2 linked regions of the Rattus norvegicus genome follow. The protein of the gene in region 1 interacts with the protein of each later gene in a pairwise test. Links are inferred from orthologs where the notes say so. Each region holds a gene or a part of one and is shown in the gene's direction. Other genes may lie near its edges.

What was found. The genes of interacting proteins can lie anywhere in the genome.
Region 2: the proteins of Mbip (region 1) and Mcm7 interact in binary tests that used the Homo sapiens proteins (3 or more experiments, as listed by UniProt). The two-hybrid records come from large-scale screens. The link is inferred for Rattus norvegicus from reciprocal best matches to the Homo sapiens genes MBIP and MCM7.

What each region holds. Positions count from the first base shown.
Region 1 is NC_086024.1:79,543,460-79,546,999, reverse strand, and holds part of Mbip (MAP3K12-binding inhibitory protein 1), read left to right. Parts: intron 1-1,700; coding exon 1,701-1,739; intron 1,740-3,175; coding exon 3,176-3,283; 3' UTR 3,284-3,540. UniProt on the Homo sapiens protein: Inhibits the MAP3K12 activity to induce the activation of the JNK/SAPK pathway. Component of the ATAC complex, a complex with histone acetyltransferase activity on histones H3 and H4.
Region 2 is NC_086030.1:22,160,343-22,164,538, reverse strand, and holds the start of Mcm7 (DNA replication licensing factor MCM7), read left to right. Parts: upstream 1-1,360; 5' UTR 1,361-1,419; coding exon 1,420-1,450; intron 1,451-1,897; exon of another isoform or gene 1,898-1,968; intron 1,969-2,130; exon of another isoform or gene 2,131-2,354; intron 2,355-2,759; coding exon 2,760-2,839; intron 2,840-3,437; coding exon 3,438-3,727; intron 3,728-3,799; coding exon 3,800-3,980; intron 3,981-4,196. Other genes in the region: Ap4m1 (AP-4 complex subunit mu-1), read right to left, coding at 1-62, 139-245, 705-829, 930-987. UniProt on the Homo sapiens protein: Acts as a component of the MCM2-7 complex (MCM complex) which is the replicative helicase essential for 'once per cell cycle' DNA replication initiation and elongation in eukaryotic cells.

The sequences.
Region 1 (3,540 bases):
TCAAAACTTCGTTAAAATGTTTACCTTTATACATAGATAGCTTCATACCCTAAAAAAAAAAAAATCCATATACTATAGTGTATCTAAATGTTCTTGTGAAATAATTGTATTCAAACCTAAAATAAGCCCCAAAGACTCAGTTCACTGTTTTGGTTTTTTTTTTTTTTTTTTTTTTTTTGGTTTTTAAGTCATTGATCCTTGATCCACTGTGTACCTGTTCTCATTCTGGGTTTTGTTTGTTTTTTTTTTTTTTTTTGGTTTTTTTTTTTTTTTTTTTTGGTTTTATGATGATGATGTGATCATTTGTGGCATAGAACTATTGGTATTCCATTGATTACACTGTTGGCATCTCAAGGGAAAGTGTTTCAATGAGTATCTAAAAAAGCTACTTTTTAGGTAGGTAAGAGTCTGCACAGTGGACAGGTTTAAGTTAAGCTCCACCTGTCCATGTGGCCCACCGTAGCTACCTAGCTCAGCTTGGCAAAGAGGAGCATACTTATCTGAGCTCTATTATTCCAAGTCTAGTAATTCTAGCGCTGAATGACTGCTATTTAATACAGCCACTCGTATGAGGCATTAGGTGGTATCTAGACATGAAAGAGAATCTGAGTTTTAATTTCTTCTGAATCTTTGTGGTCATATATGTTCATTAAAAGTTCTTTCATGTACATACATTATGTGTTTTTCTTTTTTTTTTTTTTGTTTTTTGGGTTTTTGTTTTGTTTTTGTCAGATCTGTTCCATTAGTAATTGGACACCCAATAACTTCATTACATCACAGCTCAAAACACTGAGGAGTTTGTCTCTGTAAGCCCTGTCAGCTTGAGGAGAATCTAACATTCAGGCTAGTGTGCCTGTACACACACCACCAGGGATTGAATCCAGGGCTGGGCAAGTGTTTTACCAGTCTGCGATCTATTTAGCCCCACTGCAAGAAAATGAATTTAAATGGAAATTATAAAAAATGAGAACACAGTCTTCAGAGTGATGTAGCTGCAAAGTCAAGACTTGAATTCTTGCTCCTCTTGGGTCTATCTAGTGTTGGCTTCTTCCACTGATACATGGCAAGGCTACTATAAATTTTAGGTATTTTAGCCACATACAGCAGTGTCCCAGAGGAACCTTTGTTTTCTCACAAGAGAAGTTGGCAGAAAATTTCTCCTTAATCCCAGCAGACCCTCCTTACTCATTGGCTACAGTTAGGCTATGTGCATGTCAATTTCTAAACAAGAACATTGGGGTGGGGTAGGCACTGCCTTGAGTCACACAGAGGGCACATAGAGCTGCTTGCTTAGACTGGCACAGTGCCTTCCATGGTCAAAGATACCTGTTGCACATATGCACGTGTTATGTATGTGTTTACCTCTTACTTCAGTATGCCAAGTACCTTTTGCATCTATCCATTGTTGCTTCTCTTGGTCAGTTTCCCAGATGGGAGGGTTCCCAAGAGCTATTACTCAGATTATGAGAAGCTGGTAACTAATGAAGTAGGTATTTGCCAGAGAGGAGCTTGCTGTTACACTGTTATATACTATTTGTAACAATACCCTCCTCTGTGGGTAACTTTGTAGACTATGCTTCCTGATTTTAGAACTGTTTGGGGTTCACAAAGGCTTTCCATGTATCTATTACACAGTCTTCTACAAAGGGAGTAATGCTGATGTGTCCTAAATAGTCATTATTTTGTTACTTTTATACTAGAACTTTTCTGGAAAAAGAAGAAAAGTCCAACCACCTCAAGTAAGTCATTTTGTCTTCCTTTAGACTTCAGAAATAGATTAATGAGTTTTATACTTTATTAACAAATATGTCTACTCTTGTTGCTTTTAGTCATACCTTGGCAGACTTTAGGTTGAATTAGGGAAGCCATTTTATTTTAAGACCATAGAATGATTTCAACAGGCTAATGAAATACAAAAATCTTCACCTTGTTTTTAATAAAATATTGGGTTAGAAAACATTTAAGTGCCCATATAACTTTAGTCTCCTCCCACCTTGCCTTTTATGAGCACTACTAATTAGTGTTATCTAAATCAAAAAGAGGTGACATCGTGTCTGGGGAGATGGCTTAATGAGCAGAGGATTATATAACATTCAAGAAAACCTGAGTTCTGATCCATGGCATCTGCTTCAAAAGCAGAGCATAGCGGTGTGGTTCTGTTACCTCAGCACTGGGAGACAGCAGCTTACGGGGCAGCTGTCTAACCAGTGGGCTCCAGGTTCACTGAGACTGTCTCAGAAAGTGTGATAGGGAACAGTTGCGGAAGATAGCCACTGTTAGTCTCTGACCACCATAGGTATATGTATCCACAAACACATACTCTGTGCTCCCCTCCCCGCCACACCCATACACAAATGCTAATTACAGCGTAGCTCTCTGTCCAAAATACTTAATTAGTTGAATTAAAATAGTATAATTTTATGTCTTAATGATGTAAATTAGAGTTGGGGAAAACTTTTAAAATTTGCTATTTTTTTTAAATAGTATGTTGCTACTGGGTGTGGTGGTATATACCTGTAATCGTAGTACTCTGGAGGATGAGATAAAAGGGTCAGAAGTCCAGCCCTGCACTATATATGCAATATATATATAGTAAAGCCCTGTCTCAGCATGCCATGTCTCTCAAAGTAGCTTATTACATACTTATGTACAATTTTGAGTCATTTTTTGAGAGTAGTCTTTGTTTCAGAGATTAGTTGGTCCCTCAGAAGGAAAGTTCTAGGTATTTTAGGCATCTAAGCTAATCCTCCAGTGCTTTTTTTTTTTTTTTTTTTTTTGCTGTAGATTATGAGTCATTGGGGTTTTGTTTTGTTTTTTAAAAAAGCTTTTATTGGTATTTCAAAGCTCAGAAACTCCAGGAAAGCTTTGTCACTAGGGAGGAGACTCAGGTCAATATGGCACTATGTTATATATGCATTAGTTCTGTGTTGCTAGGATGAAATCCAGGGCTTCCCATGCGTCAAGCAAATGCCCTGACATATGGTTACAGCCCAGAAAAAAAATAGAAGCCTTGTTAGTTTATACCTCTAAATTATGGCACAGTCACCACACACAGCTTTCAGTCTCAAAACTACTATACAGTAATGTGCTGCTGAATAGTTAGGTATTTATAGTTCACTTAGCACTTTATCTGCCTTAAGAAACTTAAGTCTTATTCAGCAATTTGTGTCTCCAGCAGAACTATTCACTGGCTGAACTGGATGAGAAAATTAGTGCTCTCAAACGAGCCCTGCTCAGAAAGTCGAGAGAAGCAGACTCCATGGCCTCTCACCACCTCCCGTGAGACCACACTGTCACGTTGCTTCCCTTTAAGATGCGAGTGCGTGTACCTTACAAATGCTTAACTATTTGCAATGTATTCATCAACATAACCTTGTCTGGAAAGTCAAGGTTTACTTTTGCATGAGACTGGCCGACAGCAAATAATCAAATATTGCAGTGTTTGGAAATGATATAACCCTTGACCATAGCACTGTTGGAATTTGTTTCCTTCTGTTTTAAAGGAGGCATTTTGGATAGTACAAAACTTAATTTGAAAGA
Region 2 (4,196 bases), on another chromosome or scaffold:
CATTCCGTGAGATGGTCCCCTCATTGAGTGAGCCACAGTAGTCACCCAAGAGAGTGGCTAACCTAAGGAAACACAGCGGATTGTGTGAATAAACCTCTCATACACTCCTTCTTACGTGCCTGTTCCAGCCCCACTCACCTGGAAAGTAGCTCCAGGAGGCTGAAAGGAGAGACATTTTCTGAAGTTGTGGCCACCAAATAGAGACCACTGTGTCTGATGTGAATAAAATGACGATCATCGTGATACTAAGGCAGAGTTGAGGACAGAGGCATTATTAACAAAAGACCAGAATTGTAGTAATGTAGCCTGCAAGATAGCACCCTGGGGTCTCCAATCGTGATGGTAGAAGTGTGACGCTGGGCGATCCCTGAGACCTAAGACCTGGCCACCTAACGTGTAAAGGTAGCACCTACCTCTCTGAGTTATTGATAGTCTAGAGATGGGGATGCAAGGCTCTGCATCTGGCGTCTTGTCAGTACTCATCTATCTTACTTGGAGAAACGAATCCTTCCTCCTTAAAAGCTTCTTCCTGGTCGACACCTCTGTCTCCTGCGCGGGATACATGTCGGCCCGGAGATCCCCATAATAGATCTCCGTAATAAACCTCGCCTTTGCTCATTACATCCAAAAAAAAAAAAAAAAAAAAGCTTCTTCCTACCAAGCCGCCCTTGACAGGGAGAGATGAGGCACCCACCCACCTCCACAGTTCTAAGCCCCTGCTCGCCTGCCACAGTAGTTACCATGACAACCGGGGACTCGCCTCCCGGCAGTCCCGTCAGCTTCCGGTAGAAGAGCTCGGCCACATCACGACCACCACTATCCCCTCGGACTAGCCAGATGGAAAGATAGTTAAGGAGCAGGCGACACAGACTGGCCTGGTTTCGATTTCTACCCACCTCCCCTATCCCGTCTCCCGGTCCAAAGGATACAGTCTTTATAGATGAGCGGATCCCCCTTGGAAGACAGAATGAAGAACTGGGAAATCATGGCCGTTCTGAAGGATAGACAAGAAGACGGTGAAAGTTGAACCCACCCCGCCTTGCGGACACGGAACAAAAGGCCGCACTGAGGCTGGCGCTTTAAGAAACTCCTCCCACACACACACTCGCGAGCATTAATTTCGAACCGCGGGAAATCGGGTGCCCAACCCAGCAGAATCAGGCAATCTTCCACCGGCCCGCCCCCTAGCTCTCTGTCATTCAATCTAGATTCATCCAGTGATTGGTTAAAGTTAGGGGCCGGCAGCGGTTGGGAACCCCCTCTCTGATTGGCCCGTATTTAGCCGTATGGGTCACATGGGTGACGACGTTTCGCGCCAATTTCGGTTGGAGAGCTACGTACCGCTGCGCGTTCGTTTTCTGCTTCCCCGGAGTGAGACTTCAGAACCATTTAAGTCTTGCCGCACGGTCCCCGGCAGCGATGGCGCTTAAGGACTATGCGATTGAGAAAGGTGATGCTCTATAGGGCTGGGAACGGCGTCCTCGGAGGGAAACTTCTCTACCTACACCTGTTGAGGGGAGCTTGGGTCTTGGGGGGAGCCGAGATCTGTGACTCTGGGGACAAGCTAACTGCACCTGGGATAAGCAATGGGCATTAAGAATGGAGGAAGCAATTCTGCTTGGAAAAGATGATGTGGTTGTGTTAGGGAGAGAACCCAGTGAAGGCCACAAAGAGGAGGGGCGTGCTCGGGGAAGACCAGATGACGTGGAGCCTTCAGTACGGGGTTTGAGGGACTGGGTTACTAGACCAGCCTCTGCGCCTTGGGGCACTAGCAAATTCCCGCGTGCACTCGAGGCGCGCCGGAGCCCAGAGGCGGGGCTTGCTGGACCGCTCCGCTCCGCGATTGGTAGTTTTCGGCCGCCCTCCAAGCGGAAGTAGAGGCGGGCGGAAATGGCGCTACCTGATCGGAGGGCTGTCGTGTGTAAACAGTGTCCTTCCGCGCGGTGGCATCGGAGATAACTGCTCTAGGTAGGGGCGTGCCTGGGATTGGGAGGCTGAGCGCCGGGCGGTGAGCGTTGGCAGTATGGTGAATCCGAGTGGCCCTTTGGAGTTCTGGCCAATCCCCGCACGGCCACCGGTTTCAGGCGGAGGAATCCTGGGTTGTGAGGCGGCTGGAATCCAGGCCCATGTGCTTCTTTGTTTACTAAGAGCGGAAGCAGTGGCGGGAGCCGGGCATGGGGTGCCGAAGGAGGCCTAGTGGCAGACGTTCTGGCGGGAGCCGGAAAAGAAAGAGCTGTACTGTACTGGTAGAGGGAGAACCGAGGGTCTTAGGTCGACTGTGAGCAAGCTGAGAGAATTGAAGAAACTGAGGTTCCTAACTAAGGCAGACACTGGAATTTCTTGAGGGTGGTTAGGTAAGATTATTGTAACTGCCCAGGGACCTATATTCTTCCCTAGGTAAAAACAGACTTGTGAAAGGGAGCACTGCTACTTTGAGAACTTGGTAGATTTGTTTTGAATGTTCATTTAACTAACTAGTTCATAAGTCCCGCCAAGCGGGTTTCTTAGTTTTCCGTTAAGAGTTTGAAATAAAGAATCCAAAAGGGAGAGTGATTGTTTTTAAGTTTTTTTGCTACGTTATTGTTTGTGAGAGCACGTGCGCGTTTGCACGGGCACATCACAGCTTACAGTTGGGTGCTAGACACCCGCAGAACTCTTCCAACCTGTGGGTGGGTCCCAGAGATTGAACTCCAGTTGTCAGACTTGGCGTGGGCTTTACACCTCACTGTCCACAAAGATATTTTATTTCATATTTGTAGAAAAAGTGAAGAAGTTCCTGCAAGAGTTTTATTATGATGATGAGCTTGGAAAGAAGCAGTTCAAGTATGGGACCCAGTTGGTAAGTCTCAGGGTGGGTTATGGGGAGTGGAGTGGTGTGTAAGAACTTGTATAAGGTGCCCTACCTTGTGATAGCAAGAATGGCTATCAGTGAATGACTTGGTTTTGATTGTTTTTATACAAAGTTTTGAGTTCTTCTATGTTTACTTTTGGATTTTCTTAGCTGTTTTACTTGTATTTATTCCTGTATGCTTGTGCTCACATGGGCATGCCATAGCATGTGTGGAGGTCAACAGGACAATTTGTGGGAGTCTCCCACCACATGTGTTTTGAAGAGCAAGCTCAGGTCATCTGGCTAGATGGCAAGTGTCTAACCTGCTGAGCATTCTCATCCATGCCTAGCTCTTGGTTTTTAGGGATAGTCTGTGTGTAGCACAGACCAGCATCAAGAACACCCTATGTAGTTACATAGCTAAGGTTGGCTTTGAGCTCCTCATTCTGTTGTCTTCTAAATCCTAAGTGCTGGGATTGGGAACACCTGTCACTCTGCTGGACACTATTCTGTTTTTCCCCATGGGAGGTAGGCCAGTGACTTAGAAGCGCTTTTGTGGGTGAGGTGAACTTGACTCTAAAGTGTTACTGTCTCTTCCTTACCTCAGGTTCATCTGGCTCATCGGGAACAAGTGGCATTGTACGTGGACCTAGATGATGTAGCTGAAGATGACCCTGAGTTGGTCGACTCAATTTGCGAGAATGCCAAGCGCTACTCGAGGCTGTTTGCTGACGTAGTACAGGAGCTTCTGCCTGAGTACAAGGAGAAGGAGGTGGTGAATAAGGATGTCCTGGATGTTTACATTGAACACCGATTGATGATGGAGCAGCGGAGCAGAGACCCTGGGGCAGTCCGGAACCCTCAAAACCAGTATCCTTCTGAGCTCATGCGTAGATTGTAAGTACCTCTGTGGGAAGGGGCAGGGACTTGCTCTCCAGGGCCTTGTTGACAAATGTTTCTTTCTCTTAGTGAGTTGTATTTCCAAGGCCCAAGTAGCAGCAAGCCTCGAGTGATCCGGGAAGTACGGGCTGATTCTGTAGGGAAATTGTTAACTGTGCGTGGGATTGTCACTCGTGTGTCTGAAGTCAAGCCCAGGATGGTGGTGGCCACATACACTTGCGATCAATGTGGGGCAGAGACCTACCAGCCGGTATGTATACAATAGGGAAAAGAAAAATAGGCCTCTGTTCTCTGTCCTTGAAATTGTCCCACTGATTGTAATCTATCATTTTCTCCCAGGCTATTACAAACATTTTGGTATCCATTTAATTCTTGTTAGCGATTTGATCTCTGGTTGTTTTGACTTGGAATATTTCAAGAGGCTCTTATACTTTGAAAATGTTTTGACACAGCAGAAATGATTGCT